Linked DNA regions of Drosophila melanogaster. The protein of the gene in region 1 purifies or fractionates together with the protein of each later gene. This does not show direct contact. Each region holds a gene or a part of one and is shown on either strand. Other genes may lie near its edges.

Region 1 (3,357 bases):
CAACTGCATTCAAGCGCGACGTGGACGATGCAGTGCAGCGCATTCATGCGAATCATTTCGAGCGCTCATCGGCATTGCACCTGGCGATAACCTAAGCATGTCGAGATTCAAGCAGCAGAGGTCTGTTGTGCGATTTTATGGTATCGTTTATCTGAGAGGCGCGCGTAGCTGATCGCCAGTCATTGTGTGGGCAGGGGTAGAGTTAAGCCGCAATCGGTTTTAATTGATGGTTATGTCATTACTCAACCTCGCGTCGTCTTTTTGCCGAAAAACGCTAGATAGCTTCAAATTCAAATAATACTAGTATGCTATCCAATGGAAAGACATCATTTTGATACCTTTTTTAATCACTTCAGGGCCCGAGGGATGCACCCAACTACTACATAGCCTGCCAGGCGCCGCTGGAGAGCACGACCAGCGATTTCTGGCGCATGATCTGGGAACAGCAGTCGCGGGTGATCATCCAGGCGACGGATCTCAGTGAGAACGGAATTGAGAGGTGCGCCGAGTACCTGCCACCGTCGGCGACTCTGGACAATCATAGCAGCTATGGCGATTACCAGGTGACCCTCAAGCATCGCGAAGTCAAGGATCGCTATGCCATTTCCACATTGGTTCTGAAGCGAGTGGATGGCGAGGAGAGCCGTGAGCTCACCCACTACTGGTACAAATGGCCTGAGGCGGGTGTACCGGCCGAGGAGGCGCCCATCATCGCCATGCTGCTGGAAGCGCGATCCTCGCTGAAGTCCTACTCCCTTGAGCAGGCCAACGAGCTGCGCGAGAAGTCCGCGACCCTGGAGACGTCAATGGATGCGGACGGCAGCAAAGCCGAGGCGGGCAGCACGTCCAGCCACGAGATTAATGGAAACATCTCAAGTCGAAGCGGAACACGAAGTCAGCAGGGGTAGGTTGACATAATCTCCATCCATTCATATCAAAGCAGTTGTTGTGTGTTGCATGGCTTTTTAATGTTCTGTGTCTTAACTTCTTCATCTCTCCCCCTGCAGACCGCTAACCGTTCACTGTTCTCCAGGCACGGGACGAACCGGTACCATTATAGCGTCGGACATGGCCATCCGCAGTCTGGAAACACCGAAGCGGTCCGTGGACATCCCCCAACTGGTTTACTACGTGCGACGCGGACGTGCCAGCGCCGTACAGACCAAGGAGCAGTATGAATTTATCTACAAGGTGGCCAGCATGTATGCGGCCAAGATCACAAATCTGTCCAATGACAACTGAAAGCCAGATGGCAGTGTTAGCGGCAGAGCCCATCGAGTGGAAACCGAATTTGCGATTGAGTTCACCTTTCACCCTTACAGCACTGATCAATGGGACCCTTTGTAATAATAGTAGCTATGTTTTATACGAAATATTAGTGTAAATTAGTATTATGCTTGAATGTTGGCACCTAATTAAGCGTAGGCTTCGTTGTATGTCGGGCTTTAAATATCATTTAAATTGTATGTATTCCTTTATTATTGTGATATAATCGTACATTCGTATATCTCCTGATAATCTGTTGCATATTTATAATGTCAATTTTTGTTTTTGCACTGTCACGCGCTTCGGGGCCATATAATCCGGAGCAAATGATCATTATTTGGAGCTCTCCTTGTTTTAAGAAAGTCAAATATGTAATCAAACAATGTGTGTATCTATTTTAAATGAGCTTTAATGTACGTAAGTTATTTTTAAGTCCGAGCTGTACTATACTCATATTATTGTAAATTACAAGAAAAAATATGTCCAGCAGTGGTTTTTGAAGTTTTAAATTTCGCGGGCTTCGCATTTAAGTGAGACCTTTTTTGATTGGGTTTTAACTATGAACCGATACTACTGCACTTCTGATCTTTCTCTTATTTACATAAAATTTCTTTTGGTTACTAATTTTTTCAAAGTTAAAAAAAAAAAACAAGTTTTAATCTCTTAATTTCGTTGAAAACTATTTGAGTTGTTATATTTATTTGGTTTTATGTGTGCAGTGGGAACAAGTTAAATTATTGTAGATCTCTGGTCACACTAAACCGCGAGTGTTTTTTGATACTGGCTTTCGATAAGATGAAGTTAACTTATATTTTGTTAATCTGCGCTTTTGTGGCCGCCTCCGCTGCCAGCGATCCGAAAGTGAAGATTGGCATTAAGAAGCGGGTGGAGAACTGCACCCGGAAGGCCAAGGGCGGCGATCTCGTCCACGTGCACTACAGAGTAAGGGAAATCAGATAAGGAAGATCTCTAGCCGACCTAACCCCGAATTTGGAATCATTCTAGGGAGCACTGCAGGATGGAACAGAGTTCGATAGCAGCTACTCCCGCGGCACTCCCTTCTCCTTTACCCTGGGAGCTCGGCAGGTGATCAAGGGCTGGGATCAGGGAATCCTTGGTATGTGTGAGGGTGAGCAGCGAAAGCTGACGATTCCGCCTGAGCTGGGATACGGAGCCAGTGGAGCGGGTGGCGGAAAGATTCCCCCCAATGCGGTGCTCGTCTTCGATACGGAGTTGGTAAAAATCGAACCGCGCTCTGGATCTGAAGAGCTGTAAAGCGAATAGGGCCACAAATAGGCATTCCATGCTACACCCAAAGTTTACTTTCAACTAAAGTCATAAACATTTAATGCTCAAATATTTAAAGTAGTAATTTGTCTTGTTTCTGAAGTGATGCCACGCCACGACCAATAAATAATAATGTCATTCCTTTTATACTAGACCAAATTGTATTTATTGCAAGAGCCCCTTACTTTTGGCGTCTCAGCCACGCTTCCACCTCGTCGAAGTGACGCCGCATCAACCGATGCTTCTCCAGCGTGCTGCTCTGGATGAAGCGCTCGCCACAGGTGCCGCACACGAAAGGACATTCGCCGGTGTGCTGCTGGAGATGAAGCTTCAGGTCCTTGGCCTGACGGTAACTCTTCTCGCAGTAGGTGCATTTGTGCGGCTTTAGGCCGCTGTGCGTAAGCATATGGCGCTTGAGCTTATCGGAGCGGGCAAAGTCCTTGCCACAGACGGTGCAGTGGAATGGCTTCTCGCCGGTGTGCATCCGGCGGTGCGAGGCCAGCTCTGAGTGGCGGGGAAAGGCCATTTCGCACAGATCGCACTTGAAGGGCTTCTCGCCAGTGTGGCGTCGCATATGGGTCACAAGAGCGGCGGCTGATCTCGTCTCCATTCCGCACAGGGAGCAGAGGAAGCGCTTAATTGCCTCCTTGCGCTTGCGGTCGCCGTTAATGTGCACATCGCGAATATGATTGTTCAGGCGCGACTTCATCTGGTACGTGCGATCGCAGTGTGGACACTGTAGCAGCGGTATTCCGTCCTCAGTGGCATCCTTTTCCAGGTCACCGGTCCCTTGCGTGTGTCTGT
Region 2 (3,754 bases), on another chromosome or scaffold:
TGCAACTCATGAACCAGATGACCAGTGATGCGAGAGCCACTGGCACCCAGAGGATGGCCCAAGGCGATGGCGCCTCCGTTCACATTCAGTTTGGAGGTATCCAACTTCAGGGCATCGGCGCAAGCCAATGTCTGGGCAGCAAAGGCTTCGTTGATCTCAATCAGATCAATATCCTCCAGTTTCTTGCCGGAAACCTTCAGGACGTTCTGAATGGCGGGTACTGGGCCAATGCCCATGATCTCAGGCTTGACTCCGACAAAGGAGAAGGCCACTAGACGGGCCAGAGGCTTCAGGTTGTACTCCTTAAGCGCCTCCTCGGAGGCCACGATCACTGCGGAGGCACCATCACAGATTCCGGATGCTGTTCCGGCAGTCACAACGCCGTTCTTCTTAAACAGCGAAGGCAGCTTGTTCAGACCCTCGATGGTGGTCTTGGGACGTGGGTGCTCGTCCACCACAAAGTCCACTTCCTTTCCCTTGACCTTAAGTTTGATGGGTGTGATCTCGGCATTGAATGCTCCCTCCTTCTGACCCTTCTCCCAGTTCTTTTGCGAGAGCAGAGAGAACTCATCCACACGCTCCCTACTGATCTTGTACTGATCGGCCAGGTTCTCAGCGGTCAGAGCCATGGGCAGCTTGCAGTAGGTATCGGTGAGGCCAGCCCATAGAGCATCCTCCAGATTGTAGCTGGCACCCAAGGTGGTTCCGAATCTCACATTACGGGCAATGAAAGGGCTCTGTGACATGTTCTCCACGCCGCCGGTAAGGGCTATCTTGGCACCGCCGACCAGGATGTCCTGGGCTCCGTTTACGATCGACTGGAAGCCGGAACCGCAAAGCCGGTTGATTCCAAGGGCGGGCTTCTCGATGGGCACACCGCAGTTGAGACCCACATGACGGGGCACATAAATACCATCGGTGGAGGAGGACTGCGAAGTGGAAGAGAAGAGATTTTTAAGACTTACAAGTTACAAAAAAACATAATATAAGCATGTAGTTCCAGTTTTTGATCTACTGAGTTTGCAATTAAGCAATAATAACAAATAAATATCGAGTAAATTAATTTACATAACCAGATGTACAAGTATTTTATCACATTTACATATTTCTTTTAGTTTAATAACATCTTAATATTGTTTTAATCCGACGCCTTAAGAGTTTCTATTTTAGGATCTTCAATCCAACTTACCGCGATCACATTTCCCACGATGACGGTGTCCACTTGCTCACCCTTAAGACCGGCAGCATCCAGGGCAGCCTTGGCCGCCGTGGTTTGCAATTGGGTCTGGTTGATGCCCTTCAAGGATCCACCGAAGGTTCCGAAGGCCGTACGCTTGGCAGCCACAATATAGATACCTTTACAAAGGAGAAGAAACATACGAACATATGTATAACATATATAATGTGCGTAGTGATAGCACAAATTTAGCTCGAACGAAGGCGGATTTTTGTTTTCGATTCAACAGGTCCAAAGTGCAACCGGCTGGACGCGGGGGGGGGGGATAGCATCAGATAAGACACCAACGAGTCCAAAGTTCAGATCTCTCTAGCGAGATCATCTCTTATCTAGACTTCCAACAGCATAGGCATATCCTAAAGGATTCACATAATTACCTTTGGTTGCGGCAGACATTTTCTAAGGTGGGTTCACTCTTAAATAAAACAACAAATAAATTAATGCAAGTAAAGGCGACTATCGCACTGCAATAACTTTCGACTTCTGGTCGCGATTCGCCGCCATCGCCGACATATTATTGGATGAAAGCTCGAAAAGCTTTACCCCGCTCTCTGACAAACAAAGTGAGACAAGCCCACCGATTACAGCTGTAGAATACACTGTGCAAAATTAGCTGCAGTTTGTTCCTTCCTTTGTTCTTAGTGACGATTAGTCACCATCGCTGAATTTCGATTTTTGATGAAACTCAATCAATCCTCTAGTTTTTAAATACAAGTCTCTTTAATGCGTTCTTAATGTATATTTATCAAAGCAATTTTGCATACTTAAGTACTCCTTACAAAATGTTGATCATACAATGTTTTAAAGTTGGTCTTCATTAGAAAGTTTTTTATTAATTTAACTTGCATTTGTATTGGGTTTTCCTAATAAGAAGACAATAAGATTGTTATAGTTTCCAAATAAACAATCCGTACTTGGCAAAAAATTAAAAAAAATTGTACTGCTATGATACCGATATCATTCATATTTGTATGTACTATTTTTTTCATTACGAAAGAAAATGCTTCAGTTTTAATTAGACTTTATACTTGAAAACTATGACAGAGTTGAGTGAAATACAAATCTCATTGAGGACAATGGGTGTCGGGTTGTACTGGAGACGGGGTTGCTTAAGTTCTGTATTTATTATAAAGTAGTATGCAATCTCTCTAGGTCTAGGGCGAGTTGGAGATGTCCATGTTGTCCGACTTCTCGACACTAACCGATTTGCGTGACTTCGAATCGGCGCTGGATCGTGAGCTCTTAACCTCAGTGTCCTCAGAGATGGATTTGAGTTTGCGAGTTTCGGGAGTACGGGAGCGGTCGCGCCGCCGGGATGACTTGGCGGAAACGATGACCGGATCCTTGCTGCGACTGGACCGTGACTTACTGCCGGTAGCTGGCGGCGGCGAGGGAGAGCTGCGCTTGCTTCTAGATCGGGGAGAACGTGAAGAGTGCTTCTCGCTGCGGTGTGACTTCTTGCTGCGCTCGCGGGATCGGGAACGTTTGCCGTTGCCACTGCCTCCTCCACCGGTGCCATGGGAACGCGAGCTACGTGAGCGTGAGGTGCTGCGGCGATGGCGGGACCTGGAGCGCTTGCCACGCGACCTTGAGGAGCGAGAGTGCTTGCCGCCACGGGAGCGTGATCTCCTGGAACGTGAGGAGCTGCGACGGTGTCGTGATCTTGAGCGCTTGCTGCGAGAACGGGACGAGTGCTTGCCACGCGACCTAGAGCGGCGTGATCGGGACACACTACGTCGCTCTCTGGAACCGGAACGCCTGGAACGGCGTCTCGATGTGGAACGATGCGAGCGGGATCGACTGGTGCGACGGTCCCGGGAACGGGACCGTGATCTCGACCTGCGGCGCTTGTCCTTAGCGAGCATTCCAATTACCGGATCAATGGCCGCTGAGATCATACTCTGCGCCTCTTTCACAATGGTCATGGCCTCCTCAATCTCAGCCTGCGCTGCCTCATTCGACTTTGCCTCCGGCTTGGTTATGGAATACGTGGAGTGGTAGACGCTTAGATGGCCACCCTTGAACTCCTGGCCCTGCATGCGCAGGGCGTGAATAATGCTGGTCTGTTCGCAGAACTCAATCATGCAGTACGTCTTGTTATCCTTCTCGGCCCAACGGGCATACTTCACCTCCCCAGCGCGCTGAAAGCATTCCATCAGATCGTCTAGCCGCCACTCGTTCTTAACATCGCACACGATAATGGTGCGCCGAATCTCCTCGATTTTGCGCGCATCGTAGAACGAGGGTAAGGCCGGGTACTCCGGCAGATTGAATTCCACCAACTTGGGGTCGTACGTCTTGATCACTTGCTGCGGCAGCTGTCCCTCGATGCGGTTAATGACTTCGGGCGGTAGCTTGGAGTCCGGCTTCTGGAGTCCCGGCACAATGGTTCCGTTCTTGAGCATCTCCAGGGCCCGATACTCCTCGGGTATGGCCAGAACGGGTATGACAATTAGGGCGCGATCGATGAACACCGTGTTGGTCAAGTGCTGGGCCACCGGCACACTGGTCGTGTCC
Region 3 (3,706 bases), on another chromosome or scaffold:
CCTTCGGAACGCAACAGGTGATGCAACCTGGCTGCGAACACATCGAGGAAAAGCTGACCTTGTATCTGGACAACAAGCCAGTGCAACTGCCTGAGCTGCAGGCGCTGGTGTTCCTAAATATCGACTCATGGGGAGCTGGCTGCAAGCTCTGCGAGCTAAGCAACGCCAATGGTGAAGTGCGCATTGTAAACTCCATCTCCGATGGTATGATGGAGGTGTTCGGCATTGTTTCCTCTTTCCACATTGCCCAACTGCAGTGCAATATAAGCAAACCAGTGCGAATTGGCCAAGCCAAGCAAATAAGGGTAAGCCCTGCAGTGATGGAACCGAATATTTGTTAACCAACAATCTTTTTTTTAGCTACAAGTCAAGGAGACCGTGCCAATGCAGGCGGATGGCGAACCCTGGATGCAGAGTCCAGCGGATATTCGCCTCTCCTCGCGTAGTCAGGCCCGCGTCCTCAAGCTGGCTGCAACCTGAACATTAATAGCTAATACAGAATAGAATCCCTTATGTGCCAGTCCCTAATCTCAAAGTACTTAACCTGGAACCTCAATGTATACTTAATCGAATTCGGTTAGCAAGGCAAGTAAAGACACCCACACCACCTAGTGGAAAACCGAAACTAGTCGAAAAATACACGCAATCGTATTTGATTTGAAATAAATCCATTTTTATTAAGACGCAATCTTTTGAAATATAATTAAATGTTCGACTGGTGTAACATGCTGCCCCTTGAGGGGCATGCACAACATTTGGGTCAGTATTATCGAAAGGCGGGTAAACAACAAAATCAGGAGTGCAGCTAACGCTGAAGCCCGCTCTAAAGCATAGTAAGCTCCATGATGGCGTTGACGATGTCATTGTTGTTGTTCTTCAGAGCCTTGATCGCCTTGGCCCTCGTCGTGTTGGCCTGCGTGATGACCAGCTCGATATCCTTCTCATCCACGCCGGTGTCATCGACATCCTCCTCGTCTTCCTCGGCAATGGGGGCCACCGATGTGGTGGCGCCCACGCTGTCTGCAGCGCCAGCAGCCTCCGGGGCCTTGAACTTCTCGGCGGCAGCCACCTGGGCCTGTTGCGACAGATCCTCGATCTTGGCCTCACCGAACACGATGTAGGTGTCGCTGTGGGGGTTCTTGTACACATCTGGGTTGTTGATCACGAACAGGATGTTCTTCGACTTCCTGATCGTCACCCGGTTGACGCCCTGGATCTGCTTAAGTCCCAGCTTCAGCATGATCTTCCTGGCCTTTTTCTCGCCGCGCGATTGCTTGGCCTTTGAGACGAGGTCGATGGGCAGACCGGTGGCACCTCCACCCAGCTGTGTGGTGGCCGCTACAGCCTCCTCCAGACCAGGCATGCCACCATCGGAGTCGCTATCACTGCCATCATCCTCAACGCGGACGTCCTCGGGTTTCGCCTCAGCGGAGGTGGAGGGCGCAGCCTCGCTCTTGATTTCGGTCAGTTCGGGCATTTTAATCTGTGGGGAAGCAAGTGGAGAACACGAGGTTAGGTAATTGCTTTGCAAATAGTATCAATTATGCTAAGGGAAAACATCTGGTGCCGGTTCAAAGGCTCAGCGATGTGTCTCAGCGGGGGTCAGTTGGTATTGATTTTTCAAGTTCAATTGGAAAATCAATAATTCGCTACCCCCGTAGATCTAACTCTTAACTATGATATTTTACATAATTTAAGGCGCTAATTCACTGATATTTCGGCAAAAGTTAAATTGAAGTCGAAAAATGCGGAGTACACACACCTACCGGAAACGAAGAAAAGAAATATGGCGGAGGGGAGTGTGACTGTCGCTTAGCACGATTTTTCTTAAATCCAAGCGATATATTCTGTCAGTGTGAACGTATGCGTATGAAGTATGACAAATTCAAACTTTGTGGCTACTCTATTTCATAATTACGTTACTTTCAAAAAAATGACAGTTTCAAAATACATTTTTAATCTTTCACCTCTATAGTAAAGCACTATGACTAAAAATTTATAATTTAATTTGACTATCAAGGCTTGCTGAAATAATCGAACTATAAACAATTATGGGAGTAGCTTAAAAAGCAATAATATCCCAAGAAACTAGTTCTTTTTCGTAATTATTCAAAGCAAGTGTTAAATATTTTTTCAAAGGTGTAGTTCACTGTTTGGGTCACCTTTGCTTGCAATCTTCTACTAACGTAATATTTTAGTTTTTGATAATGCAGTTATAATTTTACATAAAAGAAAAACATTAAAAACAAATTGATAACACCGCAACATTTTAAGTGGCTTACTCAAAGGGAAGGAAAGGAACATCACAGATTAGGCTCAGTGGCATGATTAATTTCTGCAGTGACTAGCAATAACTGCACTGCTTAAATAGTAAAATTAAACGAATGAATGGTTTCACAATCGAATGTTTGACGGCTTTTCTTCCCCACCCAGTCTGTCACTTGAAGATGACGATCTTCAGTTTGCCAGTGCATTCTACAAACGCTTCTCGAAGTGCTCCTTCACGTGCAGACGCCTGGAGGAGTATTTAATTAATTGAACATGCCTGATAAGGCGAGTGCCTCCACACTCGGTGCATGATTTCACTTACAAATTTGACTCCGCTGACTTTGTTAGAGGAAGTTCACCGAGAAAAATTTGATACCAGTTTATTGTCATTTATACTAGTATTTGTAAAGGTAACTTGGATATTCGATATAAGTTTTTACATGAACTTAAGAAATTGATAATATTAGTTAAATTTTAATTAGGTTATTTGCATATACTCTGGTCTTTCGAAAACAATACAACATAAAAAATTAGGTCATGTTTCGGGATAAGTTTATTTGGCCAAGTTGAAATATCTTAAATCTTTTTTATAATTACTTTAATTAAATTTTCTTGTGTATCAACCATCTTTAGACACGTCTGGTTCGAAAGACAAAGTCCAGAGCTACTTTGTGGTAGGTTGGATGGGCGATTAGATCAAAGGAGACACACGCCAGATGACTGATCCCCTATCGCCATTAGATAACGTTCCGTTTGAGTGGCCACTCCTGGAGCTAATAAAAAGCACGACTGTGAAGGGACTCCTCACAGTGAACGCTGTAACGTTCAAGACACCAAACCTCCGAAATGAAACTACCAATCCTTCTGATAACCCTTGTGGCCATGGTGGCGGCCAAGTCCGCACCTGGTCGCATGGCCGCCCGGTACGACCACTTCCGTATCTATCAGCTGACCATTGAGACGAACTTGCAGATGGAGGAGCTTAAGAAGATTCACGAACACATCTCTGTAAGTACATACAAATTCCATTCCATTTCTGAAAATCATATATGTATGTCTTGACTTGATCCAATTTAAAGGTGCACTTCCTCAACGAACTGGGTGCTGTTGGAAACAAATACAATGTGATCGTTGGTCCCTTGTTCCACAGAGCCCTCGAGAAGACCCTTAAATTCCTCGAAATTGTTTACGAAGTGATTGTCGACGATCTGCAGAAGTGAGTACTAGATTCTCAGATGAGTTATAACATTACAAAAATCTACACTTGAATCCTCGCAGATTGATAGATGAATCCTCTGTTGGCGACGATTCCCAGATGGAATGGGAGACCTACCACACTCTGGACACCATTTACGATTGGATCGATCAGGAGTGTGCTGCCCACGATTTCCTGGAGTGCAAGGTGATTGGACAGTCCTACGAGGGTCGCGACATCAAG

What was found.
Region 2: the proteins of CG14715 (region 1) and yip2 purify together in Drosophila melanogaster (affinity purification with mass spectrometry, with the first as the bait; one large-scale study listed by BioGRID). This does not show direct contact.
Region 3: the proteins of CG14715 (region 1) and Nacalpha purify together in Drosophila melanogaster (affinity purification with mass spectrometry, with the first as the bait; one large-scale study listed by BioGRID). This does not show direct contact.

Annotation. Positions count from the first base shown.
Region 1 is NT_033777.3:11,672,221-11,675,577, forward strand, and holds CG14715 (uncharacterized protein), read left to right. Parts: upstream 1-2,000; 5' UTR 2,001-2,061; coding exon 2,062-2,208; intron 2,209-2,271; coding exon 2,272-2,541; 3' UTR 2,542-2,703; downstream 2,704-3,357. Other genes in the region: CG42327 (uncharacterized protein), read left to right, coding at 357-904, 1,008-1,242; CG18476 (uncharacterized protein), read right to left, coding at 2,735-3,357.
Region 2 is NT_033779.5:9,913,227-9,916,980, reverse strand, and holds the start of yip2 (yippee interacting protein 2), read right to left. Parts: upstream 1,729-3,754; 5' UTR 1,634-1,728; coding exon 1,615-1,633; intron 1,357-1,614; coding exon 1,190-1,356; intron 930-1,189; coding exon 1-929. Other genes in the region: Srp54 (splicing regulatory protein 54), read right to left, coding at 2,392-3,754.
Region 3 is NT_033778.4:12,759,039-12,762,744, forward strand, and holds Nacalpha (nascent polypeptide associated complex protein alpha subunit), read right to left. Parts: upstream 1,962-3,706; 5' UTR 1,767-1,961; exon of another isoform or gene 1,763-1,766; intron 1,755-1,762; exon of another isoform or gene 1,689-1,754; intron 1,487-1,688; exon of another isoform or gene 1,484-1,486; 5' UTR 1,478-1,483; coding exon 824-1,477; 3' UTR 655-823; downstream 1-654. Other genes in the region: Dgkepsilon (diacyl glycerol kinase epsilon), read left to right, coding at 1-305, 361-480; CG12374 (uncharacterized protein), read left to right, coding at 3,115-3,276, 3,348-3,484, 3,547-3,706. UniProt on the Drosophila melanogaster protein: May promote appropriate targeting of ribosome-nascent polypeptide complexes. Required for correct localization of the osk/oskar protein to the posterior pole during embryonic development.